Stegostoma tigrinum: one gene and its partner. The protein of the gene in region 2 binds, or shares a complex with, the protein of the main gene of each other region. Links are inferred from orthologs where the notes say so. Each region holds a gene or a part of one and is shown on either strand. Other genes may lie near its edges.

Evidence for each region.
Region 1: the proteins of dkk1b (region 2) and kremen1 are in contact, whole or in part, in a crystal structure (PDB 5FWW), measured with the Homo sapiens proteins. The link is inferred for Stegostoma tigrinum from reciprocal best matches to the Homo sapiens genes DKK1 and KREMEN1. Residues at the interface, in NP_036374.1 of Homo sapiens: Cys189, Leu190, Arg191, Ser192, Ser193, Cys201, Arg203, Trp206, Ser207, Lys208, Lys222, His223, Arg224, Arg225, Lys226, Gly227, His229, Gly230, Leu231, His261; in XP_011528731.1 of Homo sapiens: Pro67, Asn88, Asp90, Asp92, Ser94, Trp96, Gly105, Val106, Tyr107, Trp108, Tyr110, Asp127, His128, Gly129, Pro132, Thr140, Asn142, Glu164, Ser165, Tyr167, Ala168, Phe170, Asn189, Val191, Phe193, His196, Asp203, Gly204.

What each region holds. Positions count from the first base shown.
Region 1 is NC_081379.1:37,606,914-37,623,561, forward strand, and holds the start of kremen1 (kremen protein 1), read right to left. Parts: upstream 6,163-16,648; 5' UTR 5,980-6,162; coding exon 5,898-5,979; intron 1-5,897. UniProt on the Homo sapiens protein: Receptor for Dickkopf proteins. Cooperates with DKK1/2 to inhibit Wnt/beta-catenin signaling by promoting the endocytosis of Wnt receptors LRP5 and LRP6.
Region 2 is NC_081373.1:47,602,215-47,618,455, reverse strand, and holds dkk1b (dickkopf-related protein 1b), read right to left. Parts: upstream 7,893-16,241; 5' UTR 7,709-7,892; coding exon 7,514-7,708; intron 6,534-7,513; coding exon 6,383-6,533; intron 5,615-6,382; coding exon 5,468-5,614; intron 5,326-5,467; coding exon 5,081-5,325; 3' UTR 4,701-5,080; downstream 1-4,700. UniProt on the Homo sapiens protein: Antagonizes canonical Wnt signaling by inhibiting LRP5/6 interaction with Wnt and by forming a ternary complex with the transmembrane protein KREMEN that promotes internalization of LRP5/6.

The DNA of each region.
Region 1 (16,648 bases), on a different chromosome or scaffold from region 2:
CTTGCAGAAAGTCAACATGTACACACTAGGCCAAATAAACCTCTCATGTGCTATAATCATTCTATGATTCTGTTTTTGGTTGTAGTAATGAGAAGTTGTAGTCAATTGTGATGCACAAGTTGCAGATTTGTTCAACCAGCAGTTTAAACTTCAAAAGATCATACATTCAAGTCAAATTTAGAGTGCACATTTTGACATTTCAAACTAGACCAAGATAATTGTTCTAGATGCTATCTTAACAGTACAATGTTAAGCTGAAGTCTGAGCTGCAGCTTAGGTGAACTGAAATAATGCAAAGTGTTTAATAGTTTGTTTCATCTGTGTTGATGAGACAATTGATCCTTGTATACTTGCTTGATTGCTTAAACTTGTCTGGAACTATTGAGACAAGTATCAACACCACAGGGGAAAGGTTTCAGAAAGGATCTGGGATCCAGCACAAAAAAAGTGTTTTGAAATTCTTTAAGCTCTGAGATCTTTTAAATCATTGTAAACAAAGATTTAGAAATAGAGTCTTCTCTACATTGTTTTGGTCACCTGGATTATACTCCAAATCACTGCTCAAAAACAGGTTAGAGGAGCAAGTGCAGGTTTCACAAGGAAAGTATAATGGCTGACTGAGGACTGAGCACCAGTTCCATGTGGGGTTTATAATGGGTGGAGAAGGGGCAAGAACTTTTTCCACATGGGGTATATTAACAGGAGGTAGAGGATATGGGGGCTTTTCAAACAGAGTCCACACACCCATGTCCTTGCAGTGCAAAAATTGACTGTCATCATTCAGTATGGTTGTTTAGAAGTTGACTTAAAACGAAACTGCAAAGTGCTTGGAAATAATTTAGTGTAACTCACTTCACAAACCTGCCTCTGCATTAAGCAAGAAGCATCACAGCATTTTATGCATCCATTTCATGAATCAGATCGCTAATTCTATCTTTCAAATTAAATTGGGTCTCCTCTAATCCTTGGCCGGTGGATTTTGCGATAGACTAATAAGGATTTTCTTTCAGGTCATCTCAAGCTTTCAGTAAATGATCTCAAAACCCCATCACAAATCAGGTTACAGGGATGATCATTGAGGCAAACAGAGGGGAGCTATTTTTCAGTGGGCCTATGCCCACTTCACCAATAAACCCACTAATTTCACATACTGCTGTAAAGAAAACTTTTATTCTCCTTGCCTGATGTGGATTCAAACCCAGGAACCAGCCAGGAAAAAGCAAATTTTACTGAGCTGCAGATTCATAGGCAAAACAATGTTACACAAGGTGATATAGGTAAACATCATGCCTTAAGTCAGTATGTTACACAGTAAGTAAATATGCATTACATAGGGAATAAGAGATGGCTGCAAGTGTTTTATAAGGCTTTCGAAATGGTATTTGAATGGGAAGGGTACAGTACAAGCTTAAAAATGCTTCTAAACCTTACAATGATGGACTTATTTTTATGACCACCTCTCAGTTTTCATTCAGATGGCTGAAGGTTTGAGGTTGAAATCCACGGTTTCAGTTCATAGGAAACTGAAGACATAAGCAAGGGTGATATTTAATGCAAAACTACTGGAGTTTTTGCCTCGTAACATTCTTTAAATGAGATGTTGGACTGTGCACAGTTTGCTTAATCAAATAAACATTAAAGATCCCAAGAGGCTCCCCCTGTTGCCCTGGCTAAAAATCTTTCCCTTAACAATATCGTGGATTAAACGCCTCCATTTCTTGGGGAATACACATCCAAAGAATAGTTGGTCTATCTGCCTGTGTAACAGCAGCTATATTTGGACATTGGTAATGGCAAGACACTCATCATCTAAACTCAAATATTACTGGAGAGAGAGATCACTCTTTTCATAATTGGGCCTCATATTTCATATGGTTCACAATTCTTACCAGTCTCCTGACAGAGAGCAAATCTTGCATGGTGGGAACTGAAGACATTTGACAAGATTATTCTGGCACTGAACCATTATTTCTATAGGATCAATGGTACGGAATGAGAGTTGAATGAACAATAACTCATCCCTTTTTATTTAAGCATTCAGTTTGTAGAAATAATGGCTATCTGGAAAGGATTACACGGCACTAGTCTAATTGAAGGGTATACTGACATGACAGATTTCACGAGCAAAGCTTGAGCAGTTTATAATCATGATCTGAAGTTGTGAGATTAGATTACTGCCTTGAAATCTCTCCAGGTGTCTGTTTGTTTCATTCCCTCTCAGTGTTTGATGAGGTGCTTTTACTCAACATTGATTCTGATTGCGATGCCAGCAGTGCTTGTCAGAACAGAAGCCAACTGCAGCTGCACAGAAGCAAAATTGGTGTTCATATCAAAGAGCATTTCAGGGAGGGGGCATTGCTAGAAAGTCTGCTTTACTGTCCAACTCGTTTGTTTGAGAATGAATTGCTGGATCTCTGTAATTCACCAGTATTAATTTAATGTAAGAGTGGCTCACTAATGGTAAGTTAGCGCCAGTCATGCGTATGGGAATACAGTCACAGATAAATCAGACTAGATAGTGTCCCTAAAATTAAGCAGGGAACTACAGATGCTGAAGATTTCAAACACAACCAGAAACTGCTGGACAAACTCAGCAGGGTCTGTGGCAAGGAAGCAGAGTTAAAATTTCAAGGCCAGTCAAAACTGAAGGGTCACTGGACTTGAAATGTTAACTCATTTTCTCTGCACAGATATTGTCAGAGCTGCTGAGTTTCTCCAGCAATTTCAGTTTTTGATGAAAGTAACATTAGGAGCTATTAGTGATCCTGGGTGGTGGCTTACTTCAAAATGACAGCTTCTAACTAACACCAGCAAAAAGCAAAATTGAGATTCTCAAATAACCACGGTGAATTTTAAATTGAAGTTTCTTGAATTACTAGTGTGGCTCTTGGATTACTGGCCAAGTTACTTAATCACTACATTACTATCACCAGATTAATTATCATGACACTGTCACTTCAAGAAATGATTAGCACCTAAGTATAAAGCCACAGTGTGGTTTGGAGTAAAATATAATTATTTAAAGTATTACTAATAGAAGGTTCCAAAGTAGAATTGGTATTTATGTTCTTTATGTATAATACTTTAAACTAATTGTTCTCGTTAAAAGATGTGTGGGTCCTGAAGAGTGCGCAGAGGAGGTTTATCAGAATGGTTTCAGGATTGGGGGTTTGTGTGTCACAAGGTGAGATCGGAAAAGCCTTGGAGCAAAAGGAGACAGAGATTTGATTGAGGTAGACAGATTTGGACGCCATAGTAAAGACAAACTTAGCTATTAGCTGTAACAACAAGGAGTAAGAGGCATGCATTTCCAGGGAGAGATGCAGGGGGAAGTACGAGGTGATGTGTGACTTTGCTCCCACTGCCCAGAGGCTGGTGGAAATGAAGGCAGTCAATAATTTTGGAAATAAATCGGATGGACATTTGAAGGTAATAAACTTACCTGATTCCAGGCCTGGAGCTGGAAAGATGTGCCTTGTTTGCTGAGTGGGGAGATGGCATGACTTCCATAGCCACACTGGCCTGTCCTCAATTAAGTGCTAATCATTTCTTGAAGTGACAGTGTCATGATAATTAATCTGGTGATAGTAATGTAGTGATTAAGTAACTTGGCCAGTAATCCAAGAGCCACACTAGTAATTCAAGAAACTTCAATTTAAAATTCACCGTGGTAATTTGAGAATCTCGATTTTGCTTTTTGCTGGTGTTAGTTCGAAGCTGTCATTTTGAAGTAAGCCACCTCCAGGATTACTAATAGCCCCTAATGTTACTTTCATCAAAAACTGAAATTGCTGGAGAAACTCAGCAGTTCTGACAATATCTGTGCAAAGAAAACAAGAGTTAACATTGAGTCCAGTGACCCTTCAGTTTTGACTGGTCTTGAAGCGTCCTCAGTGATTCTGTAGAGTTTTTGATCCTTCCTTACATTTGAGAAACAAGTCTGAATTACAACACCGTCTCGAAGCAGTTATTCTGTTTTCTCTCTAATGATGCAGTAACCTTCCCTTCCTATTCCCAAGGCCTGAGTTCTTGCGGGGACGTCTCACTGATGTCAACGGCGGCCGGATCCTAAAGCTGAGTGGTTCCTGTGAGCGTCGGGAGAATGGCCTGCCACTCGGCTATTTGACTGCACGAGGCATCGCCGCTGCGCTGGATCCTTTGCAACTCGCACGCGCATCCCCGGCCGGGATCACCAGACCCCTGCTGGAGAACTACAGCCTGCTTTCCCAAAAGTCCCCACTCCGTGCGGGTGCTCACATCTGGCGGAAAAGCCAGAGTAACGCAGTCCGGGGGGTTGGATACTTGGAGGTTTAAGCACGGACCAGTCCTATGCAACCTCATCCAGGCAGTGGAACACAAGGAGAAAGGAAGGGACCTTTCCGTTTATATTTACGAAACGATTCCGCATCGATGAACTGTACAACACGGGAGACCAATCGGTCTATCGCCCTTCCTTCTACTCACTGTCCTCCAGTGACTATTTCTTTTCAAATAGATCTGCTCTGTACATGAAAATAGATGATGGACAGATGGAACTCTGTTGTAAGAAGTGGTGGTATTTGTTGGGAGTGGGGTGGGGGGATTAGTGTAAATGTTGTGATACAGAATGGAGTGTAGATTTACAGAGTCCTGCAAATCTTTCCAAACAATGCAAACAGACTGTGCTCAGAAAGCAGCGCGTCGGGGAGCTGCAAATTTAGCCCGGCTCAGCTCACCACCCCAGATGGTGTGTGACATACTGAGAGCGGTTCGTTCACCGCCGGCTCGCAATAAGCCGAGACAGACAGAAAGCAACTTACCACGAACGAGTCGGAAGCCTGGGGCTGCAGACTGCGCCGTTAATGAGGGGTCACAATAAAACCCAGGGCTTCGCTGAGCTTCAGTCGCATGTGCAGAAGCTCTGATCCCCCTTTGAAAACCGGCATGAGATTTAGACTCCACAGTGTTCCTCCTCCCACCCGCCCCGGCCCAGCTGACCCGGGACTGGCTGGGATATGGAGTTCAGGGGAATCTCTGTCAAGTGCCTCGGATCCTGTATCTGACCAGCTTTAAATCGGACACATCGCTGCAGCGTCCGAAAGGGATGGCTGTGAAACTTAACGCTGGACACTGATAGGTTTGTCAGTCTGGATAGCCCCCTCTTCACAATACACAGCAATGTACCCAGTAACCCAGCACTGCCCATTACTGTGTGCCCGGCTACGTGCCTCTGCAACAGTCTCTCCGTTTGTTGTATATATTAATATACAGAGACCCATTAAAGATGACTTCTCAAGTCGGCCACACACTTAACTGTCTACTTCATAGATTTATCAGTCATTACTATATACTGAGCCATTTATCTAAATATTTGTCCATGTATTTTTTGATCCGTATCGATACTTATCCATCTTCACATTCAGCTGAAGAGCTTCTATCGATATAATGTTTTTTTTGACATATTCAAGGACAAAGGCAGCCATTCATCTCGCTCCCCATCTACCCCTGAATGTGACTCCCAGCCTAACGCCGTCTGGGTAAGTACAAACCAAAAGATCGCAGGACACCCACTACCTTTACAAAGTTGGAAGCCAAGTTGACAGTGATCGATCCGGAGCCTTGCCTTTCTCTCGGTCTCCTCCACCTACCTATCTCCCTCTTTCTCCAACCCACGATCTCTCTCTCTCTCGCTATGAACAATGCAGTCTGTCCTACTCACTGTTTCTCCCAGACGGAGGAGGTGGGAATGGGAGCTGTGCTAGAAGAAACTGGGCTGTCAGAGGGAGAGTCAGAGATGAGCAACTGACCGCCACCACACACACACACACACACACACACACAGTTACCTGTTAACCCTGGCCCCAGCCTGCTCCGCTTACATGCTGTACCCATCGGGAAAGTGAAGTAAAGTGACTCACCGGTGTTCAACTCTGCCCATCCGAGAGTGAACAAGAAGCCGAATGCCATGCACAGGGCTAGCGCTTCCAGCCCAGAACCCATCACGGAGCCGGCTGCAGAGACAGAGAGAGGGGACACAGAGAGGCAGTGCCGTAAGGACAGGCTATCCGGGGCTGGGGGAACGATGAGGAAGAAGCCGGTGGCAGAGAGGAGGAAGGGAGTCGGCAAATCGGCAACTCCAAAGTGGGTAAGTCAGTTTGCTTGGTTAGTGCCGCGTCTCTGATCTCTAACTACAGCAACACCTAAAAAAGAGCCTGAGGAGTGGGAGGGAGAAACACACACACAGAGAGATCAAATTACTCCGAGCATGTGACAGGAAGCTTGGCTTTAAACCTGCTCCAAAAGGACTGTTTAGCCACAAGCTGTCTGCACCTGCCAGCAGGCTGCCCTCGCAAGGAGCTCTCCCGAACGATTATTCCCCGTTCTCATCGGATTTTCTCCCGTGCAGAGCAATTAACAAGGAAAGTAACCGAACTTCCAAACAACTGCTGTCACAGCCAGCCTTCCCCGATGAAAAAGTTACTGTGAGCACGTAGCTTCACATTGGGATGTCTCAGTGTGTGTGAAATACATTTTTGAAGTGTCATGTTAGGGACTGTAGTCACTAACTTGCACTCAGCAAGGCTCTCCGAACAGACAATGTAATAAATAAATTGTAAATCGCCTGTCACTGGCAAGCGTTGCGTGGAAGATTTTTTTTGCCCAAGGTACTGGAGAAAATGTCTTCACCTGAGAGGGAGAGACAGAACCCGGGTTTGACCTCTCTGAAGGTTTGTACCCGCAGCAATGCAGCACTCCAATGGGCAGTCAGAGGCTCTCATTGACATCAGCGCCAGGCATGCATCCCCTAAGGCCCAGGATTAGCCAAGGAGTGAGGGCTCAGCTGTGTGAGGGTCGCTGATGGGTGTCAGTCAGGGGAAAAGGCAGGGGATTTAATTGCCACTGGCCCCCTCCCCCTGTCTGAGGTGGGGTCCCTTGGACAAGCACCAAGTTCCTAACAGCCAGTGACCCCTCGCCCCCCCCCCCCCCCCCCCCCACCTCCCTGGCACTCATAAGCTAACACAACAGGCCGTGGCTGTGTCAGGAATATGGTGTGGCAAATGCACCACCTACAGCTGGCTCAATGCCACTGATGGCCATTAATTACCCATTTAAAATGCTCCATTAACGTTGGAGTAGGCAAGCAGTCCACAAAACATCCCTACTCAGACTTAACTGGGGCAGTGGCAAGAAAGGGAACCCCACCCTCACCCTCATTCCCTATTCAATGCCCCCTACATCCAAATTCACCTCAGGGGAGGGTGTTCATACTGTCCATTATCCCTGAGCTCTCTGGGGCAAGGCTTGTCAGGACTTGTATCTGAAACTGTGAAGTCAAGCGCCTCTAACTCCCCCTCCCCTTGATCCAGCACAAGTCCACATAAAGAAGTCAGGAGGATCCTACGATTCACAATGTTCAGATGGTTTGGTATTCTAACGCATGGGGAAATCTGCTATTCTTTCAGTCAAAAGTTGCTTAGTTTCCTTCACAGTTGCCAGCCTCTTAGATCCAAATTCCAGTCTATCAGTTTAGTAATCGCAATGAGCTGAATGAATTCACTCCATGATGAACTCTCCTGGCCAACCATACCCCATGGTGTGACAAGCCAGTGTTGGCATTGTATGTCCGTGGCCTCCCTCATTTTTTGTTCCGTGTAACTCTAGAAAGATGATTCAACTCGTTCTGTTCTTGGAAACCTGCCAAAACAATCATTCATCTTTCTTGGACCTTCTGTATGAGCTATGTTATTGTTATAAAATTCTCAACTTGGAATCCTGAACTTCCCAGCATTTAGCTCAGCAAATGTATCACCTACTTCTAATACCTTAATCTTGTCAACTTTTCACAAGTTTCAGCCACCAGGCCCAGATGATAATATGGAGATAACTATCACTTTCTCTTACCTATGTTTACCCCATATATATGTAGGTTTCCATGTCCTCCTTAATCTTCCAAAAACAGCAGAAGCAAGTCAAATCCTTCTAACTTCTTTGCAACTCCCGTTCTCTGGCACTAACCCACCCAGAAACACAAGCCTTTCCATCTGTTCATTTACCTAATGCCTTCCAAAAGTTATGTCTTTTGCCCCCTTAATCTGAAATCTATTTACTATACACATTCAGCCCCTCTATTTCTTTTTCAGTGTGAATCTGTTGACAATGTTATTCTAGGCATAATCCCATTAGCAAATCTGAGATTGTTTAAAATCTTGCCAGTTAGGGAGATTCCTCGAACATCACTATTTCGGGTAAGATTCATAAGTTTTCCCGGTGCAAGGTTAAATAAATTAGGCAGTGGTGTGTATCCTTGTCTCACCCCAACAACTGCTGATCTAAACCATTCTGGTGGCTTCCTGTGCATTCTAATGAGGCAGTGTCACACTGGTTTGCTATCAGTCTGACACTTTCTCAGGAACACCTCGCATCCTGAAGACATGACATATCCCTTCTCGCTGTATGCTATTGAATGCTGATTTAAAATATAAGAGATTGGTGTAACAATAGATGTTGTACCCTGTACCTCTCTCCAAAATCTGCCACAGTTGCTGTAATTTATGTCCTTCTGCCTAAAACCAGCTTTTTCTTCCTTCAGTGTCAGTTCTGCACCATTCTCCTCAGTGGTGTCTGATTGTGATTGTTCCATGTTTACTCAGCCAGATAATTCCCCTCTAATGGTTCCATTTCCTTTTGTCTCCCTTTCTCAAGGATTAACTGAAGCCCAGATTTTATGAGCACCAAGCAGATCGATGTGAGGGAAGGGGAGCAGGAAGAAAACAATCCATGCTGATTCCACCTGCAGCTTCTCATCATGCCAGATGTCAGGATAAGGGTGAGCTCTGAGCTGAGAAGTAGCATTATACAGGAATATGGCATCAGTCTATACCCTCTCTCCATTTCAGCCAGCCCCACTGATACAGGAAACCATCTTCTCTGCAAGTGTCAGGAGTTGCAGGTAACCCATGATCCCAACCAGTTTTGCTCTGCTCCTCTCAATAATAGGTCCAATTATTGGGGCAGTATGGTGGCTCAGTGGTTAGCACTGCTGCCTCAAAGTGCCAGGTACCCAGGTTCAACTCCACCCTCGGGCAACTGAGTGGCGTTGCGCATTCTCCCCATGTTTGTGTGGGTTCCCTCTGGGTGCTCTAGTTTCTTCCCACTGTCCAAAGATGTGCAGGTTAAGTGGATTGGCCATGCTAAATTTCTCATAGTGTCCAGGGATATTCAGGCTAGGTGGCTTAGCCATGGGAAAATGCAGGGTTACAGGGATAGGATAAGAGGGTGGGTCCAGGTGGGATACTGTTCGGGTGGCCTGTGTGGACTTCACAGGTTGAATAGCCTGTTTCCATACTGTAGAGGATTCCATGATTCTATAACTGTCTGCAGAGGGAAAGGCAGAACATCAGCAATTGTGTCACACTTTGTTTGGATGATTTTTCTCCTATAGCTGACTAGCTACACATGTCGAGGCACTAGGAGGTGCGTTTGAAACCAACTGGCGAGTTAAGGGGATATCTGAAAGTGAGGTGTGGATCCTGATTGCCAAGAATTGGTAAAGGTTGAATGATGGGAATTGTGTGCACTGCACTGTGTGAGAGGTTGGTGGTATGGTGGAGCACAGGTATCATTTGGCAAGAATTTGACTGACTTTGGCCACACACCCAAAATCATCAAACTTGGTGTGGCCCTGGATCCTTAGGTCTCGGCTCCAGGAATTGACATCCACGGCTACCTTTTCCCATGCCCTTTCGAGGAAAGTCCCATTTGGACTCATGGCATCTCTTCTCCTGCTCACCTCCATCTCCGATGCCTCTTGTGGTACATTAATCTCCCTCAGTCCTTCCCTTTACCACTGTGTTCACATTTCCATTACTTAAATTGTAGCAATATTCTGCAGTGCGGTGTACCTTTAAGAAAGGCAGGGCCCAGCTATACCACATCATAGTGAACAATGGTACTTGACGCTCTTGTAAGTACAGAGGCAATTGGCAATATTGAGAAAAAGTGAGCAGTATGGGACCTGCTCAGTCAGATAATACAGCCATTTAAGACAGGTAGACCAAATCTAGTGTGCTGCTCAATTTAATCTAAACAGGCACAACCAATCAGGAGTTCTGGCCCTAGCACCCAAAAACTGAGGGAATCGAACTTTTAGAACAGAATCTAAATCTATTTTATATATAAGCTGTACATGTTAGAAAAGTTAATTCAATCATAAATTATGTACAAAACAACATAAAGATGAAATTGAGAGTGATGTTGCTAAAAGAGATAGAAAAATTGTAGAAGTTTGAATTCTAATTTAGTTGAAATGTCAAACAAGAAATCTCATTTAAAATCAATGAGATCCACACTTTCTGGAAGAAATATTTCAGGGCCAGAGAGGTTGACAACAGAAATTAACCCTTAACATGGTATGAAGAATATATTTATATGATTATATATACACAATAAATGCATATGACTGAACAAGCCCTAAATTTTCAAGGTATGTTTAGTACCACAGCTTTATATATCAATATTAATGGTGAAAATATTTCAGAAGGAACGGTTACACAGGCTGGGCTTCTATCTGCTGGGATTTAAAACAGTAAGAGGTGACGCAATTGAAATGTATTAGATCTTGAGGAGGTTTGACAGGTGGATATTTGTTTGCACTTGTTGCAGAATCGTGGAGGCAGGATCTATGTTTATAAGTAATGGATTATCCATTTACAGCCAGAGATAAGGAGATTTTGCTGACAGAGGGTCATAAGCCTTTGGAACCCACTTGCTCAAAACGAAGTTGAAATAAAGTTTTTGAATATTTTTAAGGCAGATTTAGATAGATTGTTACTCGGGAAGGGAGTGAAGTGCTCTCAGGGGTAGATGGAAAAGTGGAGTAGTCTGATTAGCCATGATAGTGCTGAATCGTAGTCCAAGTTCAAAGGGCCAAATGACCTACTCCTGATCCTAACTAACATATGCCTAGCAGCATAGGAAAGCTGGTGGAGGAGCAGGATAAATCAACGCTGCTGATTACTTCGCCATTATTCCTACTTAAATTATCATTATCTTTCCTCATTCTTCAGGCACATGTTTAGAACCACAAATTTAATTCACGAGCCTTTGCATCAGCATCATGTTATGTCTCTCATCCACTTACAACAAGTTCAGTTGCATTCACATTAACAGGAGTCTTGTCATTTCTCAACAATGAATACTTTACCTTTCAGCAAATCCAACACCACCTCCCTTCTATTCACACAAATGTGACATTGACTAAGAGATAATGGGAACTGCAGATGCTGGAGAATTCCAAGATAATAAAATGTGAGGCTGGATGAACACAGCAGGCCCAGCAGCATCTCAGGAGCACAAAAGCTGATGTTTCGGGCCTAGACCCTTCATCAGAGAGGGGGATGGGGAGAGCGAACTGGAATAAATAGGGAGAGAGGGGGAGGCGGACCGAAGATGGAGAGTAAAGAAGATAGGTGGAGAGGGTGTAGGTGGGGAGGTAGGGAGGGGATAGGTCAGTCCAGGGAAGACGGACAGGTCAAGGAGGTGGGATGAGGTTAGTAGGTAGCTGGGGGTGCGGCTTGGGGTGGGAGGAAGGGATGGGTGAGAGGAAGAACCGGTTAGGGAGGCAGAGACAGGTTGGACTGGTTTTGGGATGCAGTGGGTGGGGGGTAAGAGCTGGGCTGGTTGTGTGGTGCAGTGGGGGGAGGGGACGAACTGGGCTGGTTTAGGGATGCAGTAGGGGAAGGGGAGATTTTGAAACTGGTGAAGTCCACATTGATACCATATGGCTGCAGGGTTCCCAGGCGGAATATGAGTTGCTGTTCCTGCAACCTTCGGGTGGCATCATTGTGGCAGTGCAGGAGGCCCATGATGGACATGTCATCTAGAGAATGGGAGGGGGAGTGGAAATGGTTTGCGACTGGGAGGTGCAGTTGTTTGTTGCGAACTGAGCGGAGGTGTTCTGCAAAGCGGTCCCCAAGCCTCCGCTTGGTTTCCCCAATGTAGAGGAAGCCGCACCGGGTACAGTGGATGCAGTATACCACATTGGCAGAGGTGCAGGTGAACCTCTGCTTAATGTGGAATGTCATCTTGGGGCCTGGGATAGGGGTGAGGGAGGAGGTGTGGGGACAAGTGTAGCATTTCCTGCGGTTGCAGGGGAAAGTGCCGGGTGTGGTGGGGTTAGAGGGCAGTGTGGAGCGAACAAGGGAGTCACGGAGAGAGTGGTCTCTCCGGAAAGCAGACAGGGGAGGGGATGGAAAAATGTCTTGGGTGGTGGGGTCGGATTGTAAATGGCGGAAGTGTCGGAGGATGATGCGTTGTATCCGGAGGTTGGTAGGGTGATGTGTGAGAACGAGGGGGATCCTCTTAGGGCGGCTGTGGTGGGGGCGGAGTGTGAGGGATGTGTTGCGGGAAATACGGGAGACGCGGTCAAGGGCGTTCTCGATCACTGTGGGGGGAAAGTTGCGGTCCTTAAAGAACTTGGACATCTGGGATGTGCGGGAGTGGAATGTCTTATCGTGGGAGCAGATGCGGCGGAGGCGGAGGAATTGGGAATAGGGGATGGAATTTTTGCAGGAGGGTGGGTGGGAGGAGGTGTATTCTAGGTAGCTGTGGGAGTCGGTGGGCTTGAAATGGACATCAGTTACAAGCTGGTTGCCTGAGATGGAGACTGAGAGGTCCAGGAAGGTGAGGAATGTGCTGGAGATGGCCCAGGTGAACTGAAGGTTGGGGTGGAAGGTGTTGGTGAAGTGGATGAACTGTTCAAGCTCCTCTGGGGAGCAAGAGGCGGCGCCGATACAGTCATCAATGTACCGGAGGAAGAGGTGGGGTTTGGGGCCTGTGTAGGTGCGGAAGAGGGACTGTTCCACGTAACCTACAAAGAGGCAGGCATAGCTGGGGCCCATGCGGGTGCCCATGGCCACCCCCTTAGTCTGTAGGAAGTGGGAAGTGAGCCACCGACTCCCACAGCTACCTAGAATACACCTCCTCCCACCCACCCTCCTGCAAAAATTTCATCCCCTATTCCCAATTCCTCCGCCTCCGCCGCATCTGCTCCCACGATAAGACATTCCACTCCCGCACATCCCAGATGTCCAAGTTCTTTAAGGACCGCAACTTTCCCCCCACAGTGATCGAGAATGCCCTTGACCGCGTCTCCCGTACTTCCCGCAACACATCCCTCACACCCCGCCCCCGCCACAACCGCCCTAAGAGGATCCCCCTCGTTCTCACACACCACCCTACCAACCTCCGGATACAACGCATCATCCTCCGACACTTCCGCCATTTACAATCCGACCGCACCACCCAAGACATTTTTCCATCCCCTCCCCTGTCTCCTTTCCGGAGAGACCACTCTCTCCGTGACTCCCTTGTTCGCTCCACACTGCCCTCCAACCCCACCACACCCGGCACCTTCCCCTGCAACCGCAGGAAATGCTACACTTGTCCCCACACCTCCTCCCTCACCCCTATCCCAGGCCCCAAGATGACATTCCACATTAAGCAGAGGTTCACCTGCACCTCTGCCAATGTGGTATACTGCATCCACTGTACCCGGTGCGGCTTCCTCTACATTGGGGAAACCAAGCGGAGGCTTGGGGACCGCTTTGCAGAACACCTCCGCTCAGTTCGCAACAAACAACTGCACCTCCCAGTCGCAAACCATTTCCACTCCCCCTCCCATTCTCTAGATGACATGTCCATCATGGGCCTCCTGCACTGCCACAATGATGCCACCCGAAGGTTGCAGGAACAGCAACTCATATTCCGCCTGGGAACCCTGCAGCCATATGGTATCAATGTGGACTTCACCAGTTTCAAAATCTCCCCTTCCCCTACTGCATCCCTAAACCAGCCCAGTTCGTCCCCTCCCCCCACTGCACCACACAACCAGCCCAGCTCTTACCCCCCACCCACTGCATCCCAAAACCAGTCCAACCTGTCTCTGCCTCCCTAACCGGTTCTTCCTCTCACCCATCCCTTCCTCCCACCCCAAGCCGCACCCCCAGCTACCTACTAACCTCATCCCACCTCCTTGACCTGTCCGTCTTCCCTGGACTGACCTATCCCCTCCCTACCTCCCCACCTACACCCTCTCCACCTATCTTCTTTACTCTCCATCTTCGGTCTGCCTCCCCCTCTCTCCCTATTTATTCCAGTTCCCTCTCCCCATCCCCCTCTCTGATGAAGGGTCTAGGCCCGAAACGTCAGCTTTTGTGCTCCTGAGATGCTGCTGGGCCTGCTGTGTTCATCCAGCCTCACATTTTATTATTTTGACATTGACTAAGCTTTGTTTTACAATGCTACGCATCACAAGTATTCATGGACTGTTATGCTTCCAATCTCTTAGCTTAGTTTCTGCAAATTCAAATCTAGAGGTTTGCGAACTGCTATTGCTCAATTTGTTTATTTAAACTTTCCAAACCAGGGGAATGAATATGTTATTGTACTTTGAGACTATATGAACGGTTGGCTTTGCCCTCCCTTCCATTCATTAATGTGGGGGCATTACTGGCAGTGAGTCAGAGCAAGTAATTTTATGTGGGTTCTGATCTCTTTGAATTTCTGTTTCTGCCTCTATGTTTGTATAACTGGTTATTTCCTCTTTCCTTTGCTCCTGTACACTTCTCTCCCTGTCCATATTTGCCATTTTTTCCTGTCTATTTCGTGTGCTGCCTTTCTCTGAAACAGTTGAGGAGGACATGCCCTGAAAGAGAGCAGCCAAGGGTCAGTTCCAATGCAAAGTTTCAACTATAATTGGGTCAGGAAGAGAGCAGATATGACTTTAGGCTGTTTTGCTTTGACAGAGGCATGGGGTACTAGTTGGGTAAGAATCATAGTCATGCAGCATTGGAATGCAAGTAAGGACAGAAAGCTTTCAGATCAGATTGAGGGCATGCACATAGTCAGTTTAGATAATGAGCGGAGATAAGATGCGGAACAGATTTACAGATTTTCTGGTAGTTTTAAGGCAACGTCCAATGTGTAGGAGGAGCTTGGTTCAGTTTGTGTTGTAGCAAGCTTCTCAAACTGGCTCTCTGAGCATGGCTTCAAGAAGGACATGTGCAGCCAGGGTTGCAGCAGGATTCAGTTTGTTGATAAAAGGGTCAAAATAAGAGTAGATCGCATCATGAAGAGAGTGGATTTCCAGCTCACTAACTAGTAAGTTTCACATCTGCTCAGCACACATCTTATTGCTTCACTTTCAGCAGAACCGGCCTGAGGGGTTCGTTGACCCAACCCTCTTCCCTATATTTCCAAGATGCACAGGATTCTCACTCCCAAGACAAATACAGGCATAATGTACAGTCCTTTTAGATGATCCAAATCAAGGTGGACAGAGTAATGGGATATCTGTAAGCAATGGAATACATGTCATTGAACTGGACAGACCACAGCTGCTGAGTTTTAGCGTAAAAAATCACAAGGGTCCTTCCCTCAATATGTTTTTTATATGTTTCAAAGTGATGAAAGCTCGCCACAACTTAGTTTGATATTACCTCTCCATGGGCCTGAACTCTGTCCTGATCACTGATCGGGGTGGTTTTACTAAAACGACTGGGCCTTAATGCCCTTTTAGTTATAATTTTGCAAGTAACAGGTTTACAATGGCACTTGGGCCATTCTAATGCTCCACAAACAAGGTCTAGTTTAGTTTCAATGAAAGAAATATTCCATGCTGTGCACTGACGTTTGCATGTGAATCCTCAGTATGCACTCCCAATATGTGTGCACCTGCAGCAGGAGCACTGATCTATAATACCTAGCCTTTTCTACAGCTAATAAAGTGACAATTTCTGAGCATTAGTGCCATTGGTAAGTTCAGCATCAAAGTAAATCTCATGTTGTCAAACAGGCTGGATTTACTCACCACAGGTTCCTGATCTCCCTCTCACTGCTGTTGGGTGAAGATAGCAACTCAGAACCAGGTATGTAACTTGAACACCTCCTAATGGTTTAACCACAGTAAACTGGAGGAGTCTTGGAGCAAGTTACCCTAAGTCCCAAGTCCGAGCTGGTATTTATGGTGTGGAGGAATGTACCAAAGCTTTAAACCAAGCATACATATGTTTTACAAAGACAACAGAGCCCAGAATTTACTCAATCCTTTCACTGTGTATGGTATCATTGGGCTTAACAATAGTTGAAAAATAGATAGGGTTAATTCTTTTAGTAGTGGGCTAAACATGAACGGGCAGCTTTGACAATCCATCTGCTCAAATCCAACGGAATCCAGTAAGAGCAAAAGGTAAGATCACATAGGGTTAGGGCTAATTTGTTAGCTTGGCTAATCATTTGATTGGCTAACCAACATAAAGCAGAGAGTCAGGGATAAATGGGTCTTTCTCTGATTGGCAAGACACAACTAGTGGGGTGACACAGTGTTCTGTCTTTGCGCCCCAACTTTATGCAATCTGTATTCATGACTTGGATGCAGGGATAGAAAGTACAATGTCCAAATTTGCAGGCGCCATTAAAATAGGCGGTGAAGTAAACTGCAATGGAAAGTTAAGAAATTTACATATAGATAAGATATTTGAATGGCCCAAAGTTTGGCAGATGAAATTTAACATGGCTAAGGGTGGGTAACTATCTAAATGGAGATAAACTTCAGATTGCTTTGGTGCAGAGATATCTGGGTGTCCTTGTGCAAGAATTGCAGATATAGCAG
Region 2 (16,241 bases):
CCCACCCGTGTCTGCTTTCCAGAGAGACCACTCTCTCCGTGACTCCCTTGTTCGCTCCACACTGCCCTCCAACCCCACCACGCCCGGCACCTTCCCCTGCAACCGCACAAAATGCTACACTTGCCCCCACACCTCGTCCCTCACCCCTATCCCAGGCCCCAAGATGACTTTCCACATTAAGCAGAGGTTCACCTGCACATCTGCCAATGTGGCATACTGCATCCACTGTACCCGGTGTGGCTTCCTCTACATTGGGGAAACCAAGCGGAGGCTTGGGGACCGCTTTGCAGAACACCTCCGCTCAGTTCGCAATAAACAACTGCACCTCCCAGTCGCAAACCATTTCCACTCCCCCTCCCATTCTTTAGATGCCATGCCCATCATGGGCCTCCTGCAGTGCCACAATGATGCCACCTGACGGTTGCAGGAACAGCAACTCATATTCCGCTTGGGAACCCTGCAGCCCAATGGTATCAATGTGGACTTCACCAGCTTCAAAATCTCCCCTTCCCCCACCGCATCCCAAATCAGCCCAGTTCGTCCCCTTCCCCCACTGCACCACACAACCAGCCCAGCTCTTCCCCTCCATCCACTGCATCCTAAAACCAGTCCAACCTGTCTCTGCCTCCCTCACCTGTTCTTCCTCTCACCCATCCCTTCCTCCCACCCCAAGCCGCACCTCCATCTCCTACCTACTAACCTCATCCTACCTCCTTGACCTGTCCGTCTTCCCTGGACTGACCTATCCCCTCCCTACCTCCCCACCCATACTCTCCTCTCCACCTATCTTCTTTTCTCTCCATCTTCGGTCCGCCTCCCCCTCTCTCCCTATTTATTCCAGAACCCTCACTCCATCCCCCTCTCTGATGAAGGGTCTAGGCCCGAAACGTCAGCTTTTGTGCTCCTGAGATGTGTCTGGGCCTGCTGTGTTCATCCAGCCTCACATTTCACAACCAGAATTGAAACCTTTTTGGATCTGAAGAGACCAGATCACAGCACAGGATGGCATATTATGTTGGGGAGCAAATGAAGAGTTGACAAGAAGTTAGGTCTAGTGGCGAGGATTGGATGCAGACATAAGCACATTGGTGGGCCAGTGCCAAGATTGCCAATGACAAAAGTTACTGCCAACAACTCTCCCTATATTTGTGGGAATAGCCAGGTAACCATTGGGCTCAGTTACATGTCAACTATACAGGTCCTTTCATGGGCCCAATGTTCTTGGTCATTGTAGATGCCCACTCAAAGTGGCTGGACATTCACAGGCTTCATTTGTCAAACACAGGCATGACGATAGAAAAAGTACACACATCTTTTGCAACACGCAGACTCCCAGAGGCTTTGGTCACGGATAACGGGCCTTCGTTAACCAGCGGGGAATTTGAGCATTTCCTGAATCTGAATAGTATGTGACTGTAAGGGCTGAAAGACCATGTTTGAAAGACACAAAATGGCCGACCAGAGTTAAACAGAATTAAACAGTGTTAATAGTTACACTGCAGCCCAGTGAACTGCCTGTAATTTCATGAACATTTTTGGTCAGGGGGAGGCTGATCATTCTTGCAAATCTGCTTTCGATTTTTTCAAAAATTCTTGCATCGTGTATTAGAATTGCTGCATTTGTTGCCCACCTTAAATTGTCTTTGCACAAATTGGCTCTCTAAGCCATTGCAGAAGGCACTTAAGAGTTTAAACATGCTGCTATGGGCCCAGTGTCACATGTAGGCTCGGCCAAGTGAGGATGGAAAATTTTCCTCCCAAAAAGGCATTATTGAACCAGATGGGAGTTTTTTAATGAAAATTAATAATGGTTTCCATTCGAAAAGTCTTTGTTTAAAATTCTAGATTTTACTTAATTGGAATTTTACCATCTCTCATAATGGTATTCAAATCTGTGTCCCAGAACATTACCACTCCCCTGATCCATCGCACCACTACCACCTCTTCTGTTACTTTGTAACTCACTACTAAATGAATTTTTAGTCGTTGATACTGAAAGGGAAAGCGGATACATGCATGAGAGAGAAACTAATAGAAGAACATGAAAGCTTGACGTTTTTGGTCGGGACCCTTCAGAAATTTCTGAAGAAGGGTCCTGACCCGAAACGTCAAGCTTTCCTGCTCCTCTGCTGCTCGGCCTGCTGTGTTCATCCAGCTTCACACCGTGTTATCTCAGATTCTCCAGCATCGGCAGCTCCTACTATCTCTCTAATAGAAGAACATGTTGGCTTAGTGAGCAAAATTTCCGCCTCACAGTGCCAGGGACCTGGGTTCAATTCCACCCTCAGGTGACTGCCTGTGTGATTTGTATATTCTCTCTGTGTCTGTGTGGGTTTCCTCCAGGTAGTTTGGTTTCCTCCAGGTAGTTTGGTTTCCTCCCACAGGCCAAAGATGTGCAGGTTAAGTGGATTGGCCATGCTAAATTGCTCATAGTGTCCAGGGCTGTGTAGGTTAGGTGGAATAGCTACAGGAAATACAGGGTAGGGGGATGGGTCTGAGTGGGATGTTCTTTGGAGAGCCAGGGTGGACTTGTTGGGCTGAATGGCCTGTTTCCACACTATAAGAATTCTATAACACATTAATAGAGTAAATAAGGTGTGATGTAGGCTTCTCCTATGGAGCATGAAAGCAAACTTGGATCTCATAGAAACAATTTCTTCATACTCTTAGAACCCCTACTGTGGAAGCAGGCTATTTGGCCCACTGAGTGCACACTGTCACGCTGAGAACATCCCACTCAGACCCGTCCCAGTAATCTTGCATTTTCCATGGTTAATCCACCTAGCCTGCACATCCCTGGGCACTGTGGGAAATTTAGCATGGCCAATCCACCTATCCTGCACGTCTTTGGACTGTAGGAGGAAACCCACACAGATACAAGGAGAATTTGAAAACTCCACACAGACAATCACCCAAGGGTGGAACTGAACCTGGTGCTGTGAGGCAGCAGTGCTAACCCTATCTATTGGGTTAAATGTGCTGTAAATTCTACACCCATGTGCCTTCTTTCTACATCTTGCCTAAACATGAAAAAAACAGGAACTTTATTGTAACGTAAAACAAAGAACTGTGGATGCCAGAAATCTGAAACAAAAACAGAAATTACTGGACAAACTCTGCAGGTCTAGCATACAGTAAGAAGAGTTAACACTTTGAGTCCAATTAGCGCTCTTCATAACGGAGCAACTTCACTGCAATGCAATCAGTGCTGTCAGGTTTCATTTTTCTCTCCGTGAAGCCTACTCTTCCATGCCTTTTACACTGAATTGGCTATGATAAAGACCATCAATTCACTTACCCCACTGTTTCTGGCTTTTACCTTATCAGGATGCATCAAATCTCTTCAGGGATTGTTGTGGCTCTGAGTCAAGTGTACCTCCTTTTATTTAGGGCACTGTTCATGATCTCTGGAGGATTAATTTGTAATTTCAAAGTGGACAAGACCAATCCATGGGCATCACTATGTTATGCAGGAAGGGGATAGCTTCTTGGAAGCTGTGGCAATGTCTTCATTTTGAAACAAAAGAAAGGAGTTGCCACTTGCCTACTCGTTTCGAATATCATCACCTGCCATTTAATGCTACATTGTCACCAATGACAAATGCCAGCACAATATTCCACTGAGGCGTATTCATTCCATCTACGAAGTGTGAATGTTGGCTGAGAGAGCTGGCACAGCACTGCTCTTTTGTTCTTTGTTTCAGGTGTGTGAAACCTATCTTCTATTCTGTTTCGGTGATTCCCTTGTGATCTGTAGTGGCTAGTTGCGGGACTGTGTACTGGATTGTTGGAAGGTTTTGTTTACAGGGTCTCACTGATAGATGACTAGATTGCCTAGAGGTCAGTGGATGAGCATTGCAGGAACCCAGAGATGTGAATTAGCCAAATTAAAGATTGATGCCTATGTTAAATTACTCTGCTTGGTTGTGTTGGGTACTTCAGATAATAGTGAGCAGTGTTATAAATTGGATGTCCCGTTGACCTGTGCCAAAGGACATTTCACATATATATTGCATCATTTGAGTAAAACAAAATCGCGAGGTCATTCGAAAGGCCTCCGCTAATGTTGTGCTCCTTACTTTCTACGAGGAAAAGCTCAGACAAAATGGTAATAATTGGATATCAGACTGGGAGGTTTGAATGGACAGTCACCATTGTAAACAGGCAAAACATTTTGTGGAAGCAGCTTCTAAAAACTGACAAAGTGTGCAACCTCTGCTGGTAAGATGTCAAAGGGAATACAGGAAGTAACACTGACTATTTCCAACCATAACCCAAAGGTTGGAATATAGGACTTAGAAGCAGGAATAATGCATTTAGGTTTTCCAAATCTGATTCGTTGTTTCAGAAGGTCATGGCTGATCTCAACAATATCTGCAACCCCACTCTCACCCACTCACCCTGGAACACCTTACCATAATTCTTGACTTTTCTGTCCTTAAAAAATCTACTTGAATAAATTCCTTCAATAAATTTGTTCAAGGGAGATCAACTAGTGCTTGCAATGCTGTAGGCTGGTGTGAGTGGCTTTGCAAAGTAAACTTTCTCCCTCTATAAGTGTGTATCTTAAAACGACACAGAATATCTAAATTATGTTACCACCATGATTAACAATCACAGCTCCCAAATGAGACTGTAGTAACTGGTGACACTTTTATTTCAGTTAAAATATAGAAAATTTATATCACAAGACACTCGATAGCAATAATATAGAACAATTTACAACACTGGCTGAACAGGGAGGAAGGCCTTGCAGCATTTTCCACAATACTGGTCAGTCAAGTATTTACAGTATAAGTGCCAGACTGAATCTTTTACAACACAGTAATTTACTGCAAGCATTACAGTCTACATAGTTCCTTAAAAGGGAACCAAAAGAAGCCCGATACACTTCGAATTCTGAAGGATGCCAGCATGCTTCCAGTCTAAAGCCCCTGAGAGGGGGGGCTCAGCTAGTCGGCCGATCTTGAACCGAAGTCTTCTCCTACCCCTCCCCCATCTTCCCAACAAACCTCCTCCCCAGCCCAATGTCCAAAGGTCTCGGGTCAGTCCTTTCACCATTGTCCACAGTGGTTCAGGGTCACTGGCATGTGTGCAGCCTGGAATTCTTGCTGTGATTCTCTCCCCTCTGTATCCGACAAGACAAACCCTGGGCGCAGTCACATCTCTGGAAGATCTCCAGGCCGCGGGAGCCTTTCCGCTTGTGTTTGGTGCACACCTGACCTTCCCTCAGCACCGGTTTGCAGATCTTGGACCAAAAGTGTCGGGCACAGCATAGTCCTTGGTCACAGTCAGAGGATCTGAGGCAAACATCACCTTCCTGTCCTAAGATGGGAAAGGATGGCCGGGGGGGGGGGGGGGGGGGGGGGGCGCACGGAGATGAAAAGAGAAAGTCAGTGAGAAACTTTCAAGATTGCAGTGCAAAGCACACACTTTGGACCTGTTTTGAATTTATCTGAGCCCTTACCTTTAACTGGGTGGGACCGAGCAGGGAGGGTTGTCCTCCTTGAATGGCTGTCCAAGGTGGTTTGATGCTCCTCATGGTTCCAGCTGTCCAGGATGCTCTCCTCAATTTCACCAGGAGTGTGTTCAATATCATCAGGCATGCACAGTCCTGCAAGACAATCCAGACCTCAAAATCCAGTTTGCTCCCTCCAAGAGAAAACTATGAACCAACAACCCCCTCTGTTGGCCCAGAAATGTTCATTGACTTCTTTTTGAGCAACTTAAACCTGACTCCTTTAAATTCCAATGGAGTTCAAATTAGTCAATTAGTGAGTTCAATGAATTCTGGGGATGGAGTGATTATGGGACCCTGAGACCAAGCAAACTCAACCAGAGGAGATAGGAGATAGGGGTGGGAAGTGAGGGGGCCACTAGACGACCTCGGTTTAGCCTCTTGGCAACTTCCACAGTCCATGATCTTATTTCTCTCTGGTAAAACAGATCTGCTGTTTTGAATTAACCGAGGCACCATTGTGCAACATGGTGTGTATATAAAAGTTTAGTTGTCTCGCACTTTCCCCTAATTTCCTATTTGAAACATGTTGCCCTCCGGTTGTAATACCTGACGTGGAATGTATATTGCAAATAGAAGACCGACTGCAGCGGGATCGACAGGATGTATGCGGACAAGTTGTATTTTTATTCCTGTTTCTGCAATATCCATGTTGAAAATTTTTAGATTTTTATCTATAAAGTACTTTTTTTCTCTGAAAACCAACAGCCCGATTGAAAAGCTGCAAGTTTTCAGCACTTTTTTTTCTCTCGCATTTACTATCCTTCCACGAAATGCCTCCCTCACTCTTCCCTCTCCCAACCCGTTCCCCTCGTCCTGTTCCGTTCTCTCTCCCACTCTGGCCGTCATTCTCCCCGCACTCACCGTTGCTGCAGCGAGTCCCCGGGCAGCACATAGCATCTCGGAGACAGCGTTTTCGGCGTCGGCGGCAGTTCAGACAATGCTGGGCAGCGGTTCTGGAAGCAGAACAGAACTGCTCGACAGCGCAGTCCCGGTCATTCAGACAACTGGAGAACTGCAAAAACGGAGTAGAAAGTTGAGTTAGTGTCCCCCCGGCACGGTGTAACACAGCAACACTAAGCACACATCAGGGCACGCACGGGCAGACCCTGAACGACTGGCACACACACAAATACACCCTGAAACATTAATACACATACACCCTGAAACATTAATACACATACACCCTGACACACACAAATACTCCCTGAAACACTGACACACACAAACGCACCCTGACATACAATCAAATACACCCTAAAACACTGACACACAAACGGATATACCCTGAAACATTGACTCAAACAAATATATCCTGAAATTTCGAAACACATATGCTCTGAAACTTTGGCATACACGGAAATGTAGCGTGAATCAATGGCGCACGCACACGTATATATACTCTGCAACATTGGCACGCGCAGACATATCCTGAAACAGTGGCACACCGCACAGATATATACCCTGAAACACTGGTACACACAGAGATATACCCTGAAACACTGTCGCGCACAAATATACTCTGAAACGGCGGCACACAGATACACCCCACAACACGATCACACACATTTATACTCCGCAACATTGGCGCGCGCACACACGGACACACAGACGTACCCCGTAATATACATGCAGAGAGGTAGACCCTGCAATACATTCACCAGACAATGCTTATACCCTACCTATAACACAAATTACGCGATAGTGTAATTACTGCGACATGTTTATGTGCATTAACACAAAAAGTAGTGTCTCCAAAAACACATCGTCCAACCCACAGAAATATCTTATTTTGCAACAGGTAATGTTGTGTCAGAATCCAGGTCTGAAACAATCAAAAAGTTGGGCGTGTTATTTGACGTTAAATCTTAAACAGGGAAAACTTCGTAATTTCAATGCAAATATTGACCGTTCTGGATGAAACAATGTTACATTTTGTTTTGTCTGGGTGGCCAGCTGGGTGCGTGCTTGGAGGTTAGCTGGCTTGACACTGACCTGGAATTGCTCGACCGCGTGGTTTTTGTTGACACTGTGACGGACCACAACCTGGGGAGCGACGCTGACCGGGTGGCTGGGACTCAGCGCCGCACCGCTGGCTGTCTTAATGGCGTTGGAATTGAAGGAGCTCACGGTGTTGCAGAGACAAAAGGTGAGCAGCAGTCTACCAGCCCCAGCAGCCTTTAAATACATGGTCAGCAGGGTCTCTCCGGTCCAGGACACCGCCAGATGAATGCAAGGAGGAGATGAACAGCCCACTCGAGATGCCCTTCACTCTCCTGACAGAAACCTGTGGGAGCAGCTAAGTGATAAATCCTTCTGTCCAGAAGCGCGGAGGTTTTGCCTGCTGGCTGTCTGGTTAACTCACTGACCTTGCAGAAACTTTATTTCCCTGAGTGCAGCCGCTTCCTGAGCAGTTTTATAGCAGCTCCTGCTGCCTGTGTTCCCGCCCCCCTCTCTCCATGTGTGACAAAGGACATGCTGGGATTTCAACACATGCTGCTCGGAGAATTTGCAAACCTACGTGTGTGTCAAACCAAGCCCCCCCCCCCACCTCCCCCCAATATCTAAGGCGCAATCAACACTCATTCCCGTTACCTTCTTTAATCATTTCCCGAAAGATGGCACCACATTGAGGTTTGACGCCTTTCTGAAACCTCTCTCGATCTTTATCTCCCTGTCTCTAATCTCCCTCCCTGTCTGAATCTTCCTGTCTTTATCTCGCCCACTCTCCCCTCTGTATCCATTTCTGGCCCTATCTTGTCTCGACATTCCTCCCTTTTTACCCCTCTTTCACCAGCTTCCTCTCGCTGTCTCCGTCTCCCTATTCTGTATCTTCCCTCTATCTCCTGCATCCTGTGCCTCATGTCTGTGTTCCACTGTACCCATCTCATTTTGCCCTTCTATCTGCCTCATCTCCCTTCCTCTGCCTCCATCCATCTCTCGTCCTCTTTCTCCCTCTGTCTTTCTCTCTCGCTGTGCCTTCCTTCCCTCTATCTCATTGTCTCTGTCCTTTACATCTGCAGTTCTAGCTGCCTTTCCCCGACGCTTCTATTTAGCGTTTTGCGGTTCTATCTATAAAGTTTGTGTTTGCCTTTCAGTCCTCAATCCGCCTTTCGCGCCCCTTGTTTGGTCTCTCTGTCACTGGGCATTTCTGTTCAGTTTGCTTTCTGTCTCTATCCCCGTTTCTTTTTATCTCCTCCCCACCCCCCCCCCCCGCCCCAACTTTGGCCTTTCTATCCCCTCCTGTCTGCATATTCCCCCTTCCCGCTTATTTAACTTGCATTCTGAATCCTTTTTTAATTGTCTTTTAAAATCCTGGGTCCAAATGTGTGGGGATGGCGAATCGGAGCTTAAAGGAAAAGTTTCTCGCTCAGATTTCCGCTGCTTGTAGAAGTCATGGGCGTGGAGCCCATCCTGTCGCAATATTCATCCTTTATCCGATGAGTTTCACGTCTGCTTTTTGTTTATTTGGAGCCGCGGATAGTTTTAGTACCTGCACTGTCTGGCTGGGAAAGAAAAGAATTCGAATACATTCAGATCATTTTCGCTCCATTTACAGCGTTTGATTGGAACGGGGGCCCAACTTTGAAATCCAGTTGATGAAACAAACTCGGCAGATCAAAGAGCTTGTGGAGACTCAGAACAGAGAAGAGTTTACCCAGTGAATTATCACGCAGTCCCGCACAGCAAAGCAAACACAGAACGCTCAGCACTGAATAATAAACAAGGTTAAGCTGCTTTCTCTGAATTGCTATTGTGTTCTTTGACTTAGTGATAAAACTACCAGAAACGAGCAGGCGCACTGCACTGATTGGCGTCGCTTCTGAAATTGCTAAAGAGCTGTCAGCAGGTTCGATGTTTGCAAAAATTATTAAACATGGAAATAACTCAGAGGAACGCCTTCTGCACCTGTTTCGGGGCTCCTCTTTTGGCCATGAGGTTTTGCTTTGGTTGATGTCGCGAAAAATAGTTTGGAACCACATACTTTTCGCGTGTGTGTATGTGCTCTTTTTCTCCCTCGTGTTGTTTAACTGAAGCTTTCTGGTTACAATGAAGCAGACTCTTTGGCACAAGAGGTAGAAAGATCCAGGTAACTGTTGTCCTCGCAATCGAGGTGCTCCTAAGATGCTGCTCGGCCTGCTGTGTTCATCCAGCTCTATACTTTTTTTTATCTCGGATTCTCCAGCATCTGCAGTTCCTTTTATCTCATGGGATTTGAAGTGTTGTTGCTGCAGGAAACACAGGAGCCAGTTTGCAGAGAGCAAGCTGTCTCCAGTAAAGTTACTATCTGAGATGTTACAGCATGGAAGCAGGCCATTTGGCCCATGCTGAAATAGCCATGCACCTGGTACCATTCCCCTGGAACCAGCCTCCACTGTTTACTTTGGCAGCACATTCCAGTGTAAGCAGGCTATTCGGCCCATTGAGTCCACACTTACCCTCTAAAGAGCATTCCACCCAGATCCACGCCCCTACCCCTATCCCTGTAACCCTGCATTTAGCATGGCCAATCCGCTAACCTGCACAACTTTGGACTGTGGGAGGAAGCCCAACGCAGACACAGGGAGAATGTGCAAATTCCACATACATAGTCACCTAAGGGTGGAATCAAGCCCAAGTTCCTGGCAGTGTGAGGCAATAGTGCTAACCACTGTATCACCCAAACTTAACCTTCTCTCATCACCGATTGCTCAGAAATACAGAAAATAGGAGCAGGAGTAGACCATACAGCCATTGGGAGCCTGCTCTGTTATTCAATATGATGATAGCTGATCATCCAACTCAGTCCTCAGTTTCTGTTTTCTCCCCATAATCTTTGATCCCTTGGCCCTAAGAACCATATTTCACTCCATCTGCAAAATGTTCAATATTTTGGCCTCAACTGCTTTCTGTGGCAGAGAATTTCACAGGCTCACCACTCTGGGTGAAGAAATTTCTCCTTATCTCAGTTCACTCATCCATACCCTCCACAGCAAATGCTCAGTAGCAGCAGTGTGTACTATCTACAGGATGCACTTCAGAAATTCTCCAAAGATCCTTCGTCAGCACCTTCCCAACTTAGGACCACTTCTATCTAGAAGGACAAGGGGAGCAGATATATGACAGTATCAACACTACATTCCCCTCCATGCAACTCACCATGAGCAGGACTGCCCTGACAAAGGTTCCTGACCCAAAACATTGACATTGCTGTCCCTCTGATGCTGCCTGACCTACTGTGTTCCTCCAGCTCCACACTGTATTGACTCTGACTTCCAGCATCTGCAGTTCTTGCTGTGTCCTGACTGATCCATCCCAAAAATCAGTTTCATGAACCTTTGTTGTACTCCCTCCAAAGTCAGAACATCCTTTCTCAGATAAAGGAGACCAAAACTGCATCTAATCTCATGGATGTGGTCTCCCAAGGTCCTGTAAAATTGCAAGACATCCCTCCTCCTATATTTGAATCCTCTTGCTGCAAAGGTCAACGTACTATTTGCCTTAAACTGAAAGAACCACGGATGCTCTATGTCAGTAACAAAGACAGAAGTTGCTGGAAAAGCTCAGCAGGTCTGGCAGCATCTGTGAAGAAAAAAAATCAGAGTTAACGTTTCGGGTCCAGTGACCCTTCCTCAGAAATGATGGTAGCTGGGAAAATGTCAGTTTATGTGCAGAAGGTAGGGAGTGGGGTAGGGAGGGGAGAAACAATGAATAGAGCCCAAAGAAAGAGAAGACCAGTTGAATTATGATCCAATGACCCAACTGCTCCTGACTCTCTTTAGGCTCTTTCCTATCGTTTATTCCCTACCCTACTCCCCCCCCCTTCCCTATTTCTCTATATAAACCAACATTTTCCCTGCTACTATCTGTTCTGAGGAAGATACACCAGACTCGAAACGTTAACTCTGATTTCTTTTCTTTACAGGTTCTGCCAGACCTGCTGAGCTTTTCCTGAAACGTCTGTTTTTGATTCTATTTGTCTTCTTCACCGTCTGCTGCACCTTTGTGTTTTGCGAATTGGCTCTCAATCCTTCCATCAGTGGGGACAACGTTTGTCTATCCATTCTGTTCAGTCCCTTCATAATCATAACAAAATCATTTGATTTTTTGTGATCTTTATTGATAAACATTGGTATGGATACTGGGGTTAACTTCCCTTATATCCTTCAAAGTACACACCTGGACCTTTTACATCGAGCTGAGAGGGCAGATGGGCAGCACTCCTTCAGTACTGCACTGCAGCTTCAGTCTTGATTGTTATGTTGAAATCCCAGAGTGTAGAACTTGAAATGACAGCCTTCTGTATGTTACCAATCGTTCATAGACAAACTGGTGAAGTCACTATACATGATCTAAATAAGTAGACATTAGGAGACTGCAACAGCTACAGTGGTGACCAGCAGAGGCCAGAAATTCAAACTGTGACGTGGCATCTGACTCACCAACCCGTGTACTAGTGTACCAACACATCAACATGGCCTTTGTCTCAGTGACTCTACAGGGATATCACAACAACAGTGCAGAACGGGTGCAGCTCAGTGTCCTGCACATTTTAGTGTGAAACCACATTCACTTGACAATTCCAGATTTAACATGTCTTTCAGTTAGAGAAACTGAGATGGTGAACAGTTATGAATGTGTGTGTGTGTGTATGTGTGTGTCTGTGTAAGAGAGATGCGTGTGTGAGAGAGAGTGTGTGTTTGTGTGTGTGTGTATTTATGTGTGCGTGTGTCTGTGAGAGTGTGTGCGCATGTGCGTGAGACAGTGTGTGTGTGTGTGTGTGTGTATGTGAGAGAGCATGTGTGTGTGTGTGTGTGTGTGTGTGTGTATGTGTGTGTGTGTGTGTATGTGTAAGAGAGTGTGAACAACATGAGTACTTTTCATTGCAGGCCTGACGAGCATTTTGACTGTTTAATACTGACACAGATCAGGGAGGCTGATAGATAATATTGCTTGACACTGAGAGCGATGTCAATAAGGATAAAGTCAGCCCTGACTGTCCTTTCTTTGCGAGCATGCACAAATAATCACGACTGACACTTCAGCGTGGGTCAGCACAGTGGCTCAGCTGGGGACCCGGGTTCAATTCCAGCCTTGAGCAACTGTCTGTGTGGAGTTTGCACATTGTTCCCGTGTCTGTGTGTGTTTCCTTTGGGTACTCCAGTTTCCTCCCACAGTCCAAAGATGTGCAGTGAATTGACCATACTAAATTGCTTTGTAGTGTCTGCAGATGAGGTGTCTTGTGAGTTTGCCATTGTAAGTGTTGGGTTATAGGGAGGGTGGAAGTCTAGATATGACTGGGTGCTGTTTGGAGTGTCAGTGCAGATCTGATTGACTGAATGGCCTCTTTCTGCACTGTAGCGATTCTGTGATTTCACCAAAGTGGCCACAAGAGGATGATATATTCATTAGTAAATCATCACCATATTGTTTGAACTGTGCTTGTGAATGGATAAATCTTCCCTCATGTCGGGTATTGTGAAACCAGAACAGGAGCTGATGTGGTCAAATCTGAACTGGCCAATATTCAATCAGATCTGGCCACACTAGCAACAGGCACAATCAGAGGTCACAGTCTGCATTGGAAGGAATGAACAACTTATTGCTTTTGAGTAAGGTTGGCGAACAGAGGCATGGTGACTCAAGACCCCAGATTATATTTTATTGGTTTCGTTCCTATTGATGGGTCCTTCTGTCCTTGGCAAATAGGAATTTGATTAATGTCAGGTTTGGAGGAAACAGTCCCTCTGGCAGTGGAGTACTCTCGCAGTAAGCATTGGATTGACAGCTTAAATTAAATAATAAAAATCCAGATAGATTATCACCATATTACCAATTGTTTATATGAATAGGAGTTTTGGCCAAGTTACATCAACTGTCATGTCCATCAAGCATTTGGGACGTCAACATTCTAAAGCATTTCAGAGCTGAATTAAGAGCTGGGTACAAAACGATTCAAAGATTTTGCAATAGTTTCCCTCATGATCCCTTCCCATTGTCCCATCCTTGTAAAACATTAGATGCACCGTAACATGAATGCAAATGTCTATAAAATGCTTACAGATCACATTATTAATAGAACAAAATCATGTCATTGGATATTATGCTTAAATAAAATTGGTTTACGGGTGGGGGAGTGCAGTGGCAGCGGCATAGGTTCAATAAGCCTGTTTATTAGTCTGTTTTGAGATGATTAATGGAATTGGAGATGGATAAATGCTCTGGAATTTTAGGTTGTAATTGGGACCAGAGATTATGAAGATTTGTCTTCCTCAAGAAATTTCATAGGTTGGAATAGGATCCATTACAAAGTAGATCATACGTGTTTAATGAAAGAAGCAGGTCAGCTGAGTAGATGACCTTTTACAGAAGGAAGTCACATTAGTCATTATGAGTTTCTTATAATACTTTTTTGAGAAGCCTCATGTGATCACTGGTAAGCACATGGTTAGGTTTTCAAACAAGGTCTTCCTGCTTGCAATCATCACCCCGTTAAAATAATCTCTTGTCTAAGCAATTGTCCTGAACAATGGATTTCTTTAGTTGCATTCCTGTTAAGCCAAATGGAATTCTAGCAGGAGTCTGGGTTGGGAGGTAATTTTTATTATTTACTCATTCATAGGGTGTAGGTGCCATTGGCTCAGGGGCTGCAATGGCCTAGTGGCATTATTGTTGCACTGTTACTCCGGAGATGCAAGAAATATTCCCGAGACTGTGCTTCAATTCCCACTATGGTAGGTGGTGGAGTTTGAATTCAATAAAAATTTGAAATTAAGAGTCTAATGATGCCCATTAAATCATTGTCAATTGTTGAGAAAAACCCATCTGGTTCACCAATTGCTTTTCAAGAAAGAATCTGCCATCCTTACTTGATCTGGCCTACATGTGACTCCAGACCCACAGTACTGTGGTTGACTCTTAAGTGCCCTCTGGAAAGGGCAATAAATGCCAATGCCCACCTCCCATGAACTAATAAAAAAAATTAATATAGGGATTACCCATCCCTAATTGCCCAGAGGGCTGTTAAGACTCGACTACATTGCTATGGATCTGGAATCACATGTAAAGCAGATAAGGTAAGGATGGCAAATTCATTTTCTTAAAGGACCAGTCTTTTTTACAGGAATTGAAAATGGTCTGTTCTTTTTATTCTGGATTATTTTTTGAACTGAATTCAGATTTCACCATTTCCCCAGCGTTGGATTCAAACCCATGTCCCTGGCCTGGGATTTGTGCTACTAGTGGAGTGGCAATGCCCCTATTTGCAGGAAATGTCCACTCCCATGCTCCAGTGTAGAATGAGCCCGGCCTTTGATTAAGATTTCTTTTCCAAGAACTGTAATAGTACAGTCACTGGGCACTATCTTATAGTGATACAACTGTAAGAGTAAATTTCCAAAATAAATGGAAAATCATGTGTTTTCACAACAGATATACATGTTGCTTCATCCATGGTCTTCTATCATAAGGTCAGCAGTGAGGATGTTCACTGAAGATTGAACAATTTTTATACAATCTGGATCACTCCCTAACAGCACTGTGGGTGCACCTACACCAGACAACCCTAAAATCGTGTACCTCAGTACCTTTTAACCTAAGATTGTGCCATAAGTGGCAACTCTGTAAACTTCTCACAGCACCCATGTGAATACATGTGACAATAAACCTAAATTTAATTCTAACATACTACTGCAGTTCAAGAAAGCAGCTCAACGCAAACTGTGGAGGAACAATTAGTGAGAGATAATGGGAACTGCAGATGCTGGAGAATCCAAGATAACAAAGTAGTCTAGGCCCGAAACGTCAACTTTTGTGCTCCTAAGATGCTGCTTGGCCTGCTCATCCAGCTCTACACTTTGTTATCGAGGAACAATTAAAAATGGACAGAAAATGCCTGCCAGATCCATTGTTCTCTTCTAATCTTCATGTAGTGTCCTCATTGTTCAAGGGTTAGTTTATCTCATGATGTTCACTCTGGGGTGGCGATTAGCTTAACCAGTGCAAATATTATATCTGCGTTGTTGGAGTTATTCAACACTGCAATACCAATTAAGATTAGCGACTGCACAAAGTCTTTCTCTCATCCCATAAATGAATGTATCAATAAACTAACAAATTTAATGTTCTTCTGACTGCCACACTCAGTTGAATTACACACTCCACAAATATGACCTCATCCAAAAGTATGTTCTATCCTGTGTTAACTGATGTACACTCATTCCAAATCTCAATTTTAAAACCTTCAAACTGGTTTTGAAATTGCCTCCCTAGTTCTGCAACTTCTTCCAGTGCTATAACCTTCTAAGATCTATGACCTCATTCAATTCAATTTCATAAACTTCTCAGTTTAATCATTTAGAACTAGAAATTGTGCATTCTGTTGTCTTAGTTCTACTGTATATAGTTCTATTGCTGCAATGGCAATAATAATGAAGATGTTTCCTATGACATTTTTAGCTTTGAACCTGTCCTTAGGTGGCTTCGAGCCAAGTTTTGTTTGTTTACACTTCTGTGAAAATGCCTTGCGATATTTACTAACTTGAAAGGTCTTATACAAATGGAAATACTTATTAAGGTCACTTATTTGAGTATGGAAGTAGTCAGTCAGAAAACAAACGCCAACTATCTATTTTGTGATCAATTTGAAAACTGGAGAAATGGAGTTCCATACATTTGCATCAAATTGTTCACAGTTAAGTTTGACAAAAAGCTAATGAGGCAGCACTTGTTTCTCAAAATGTTT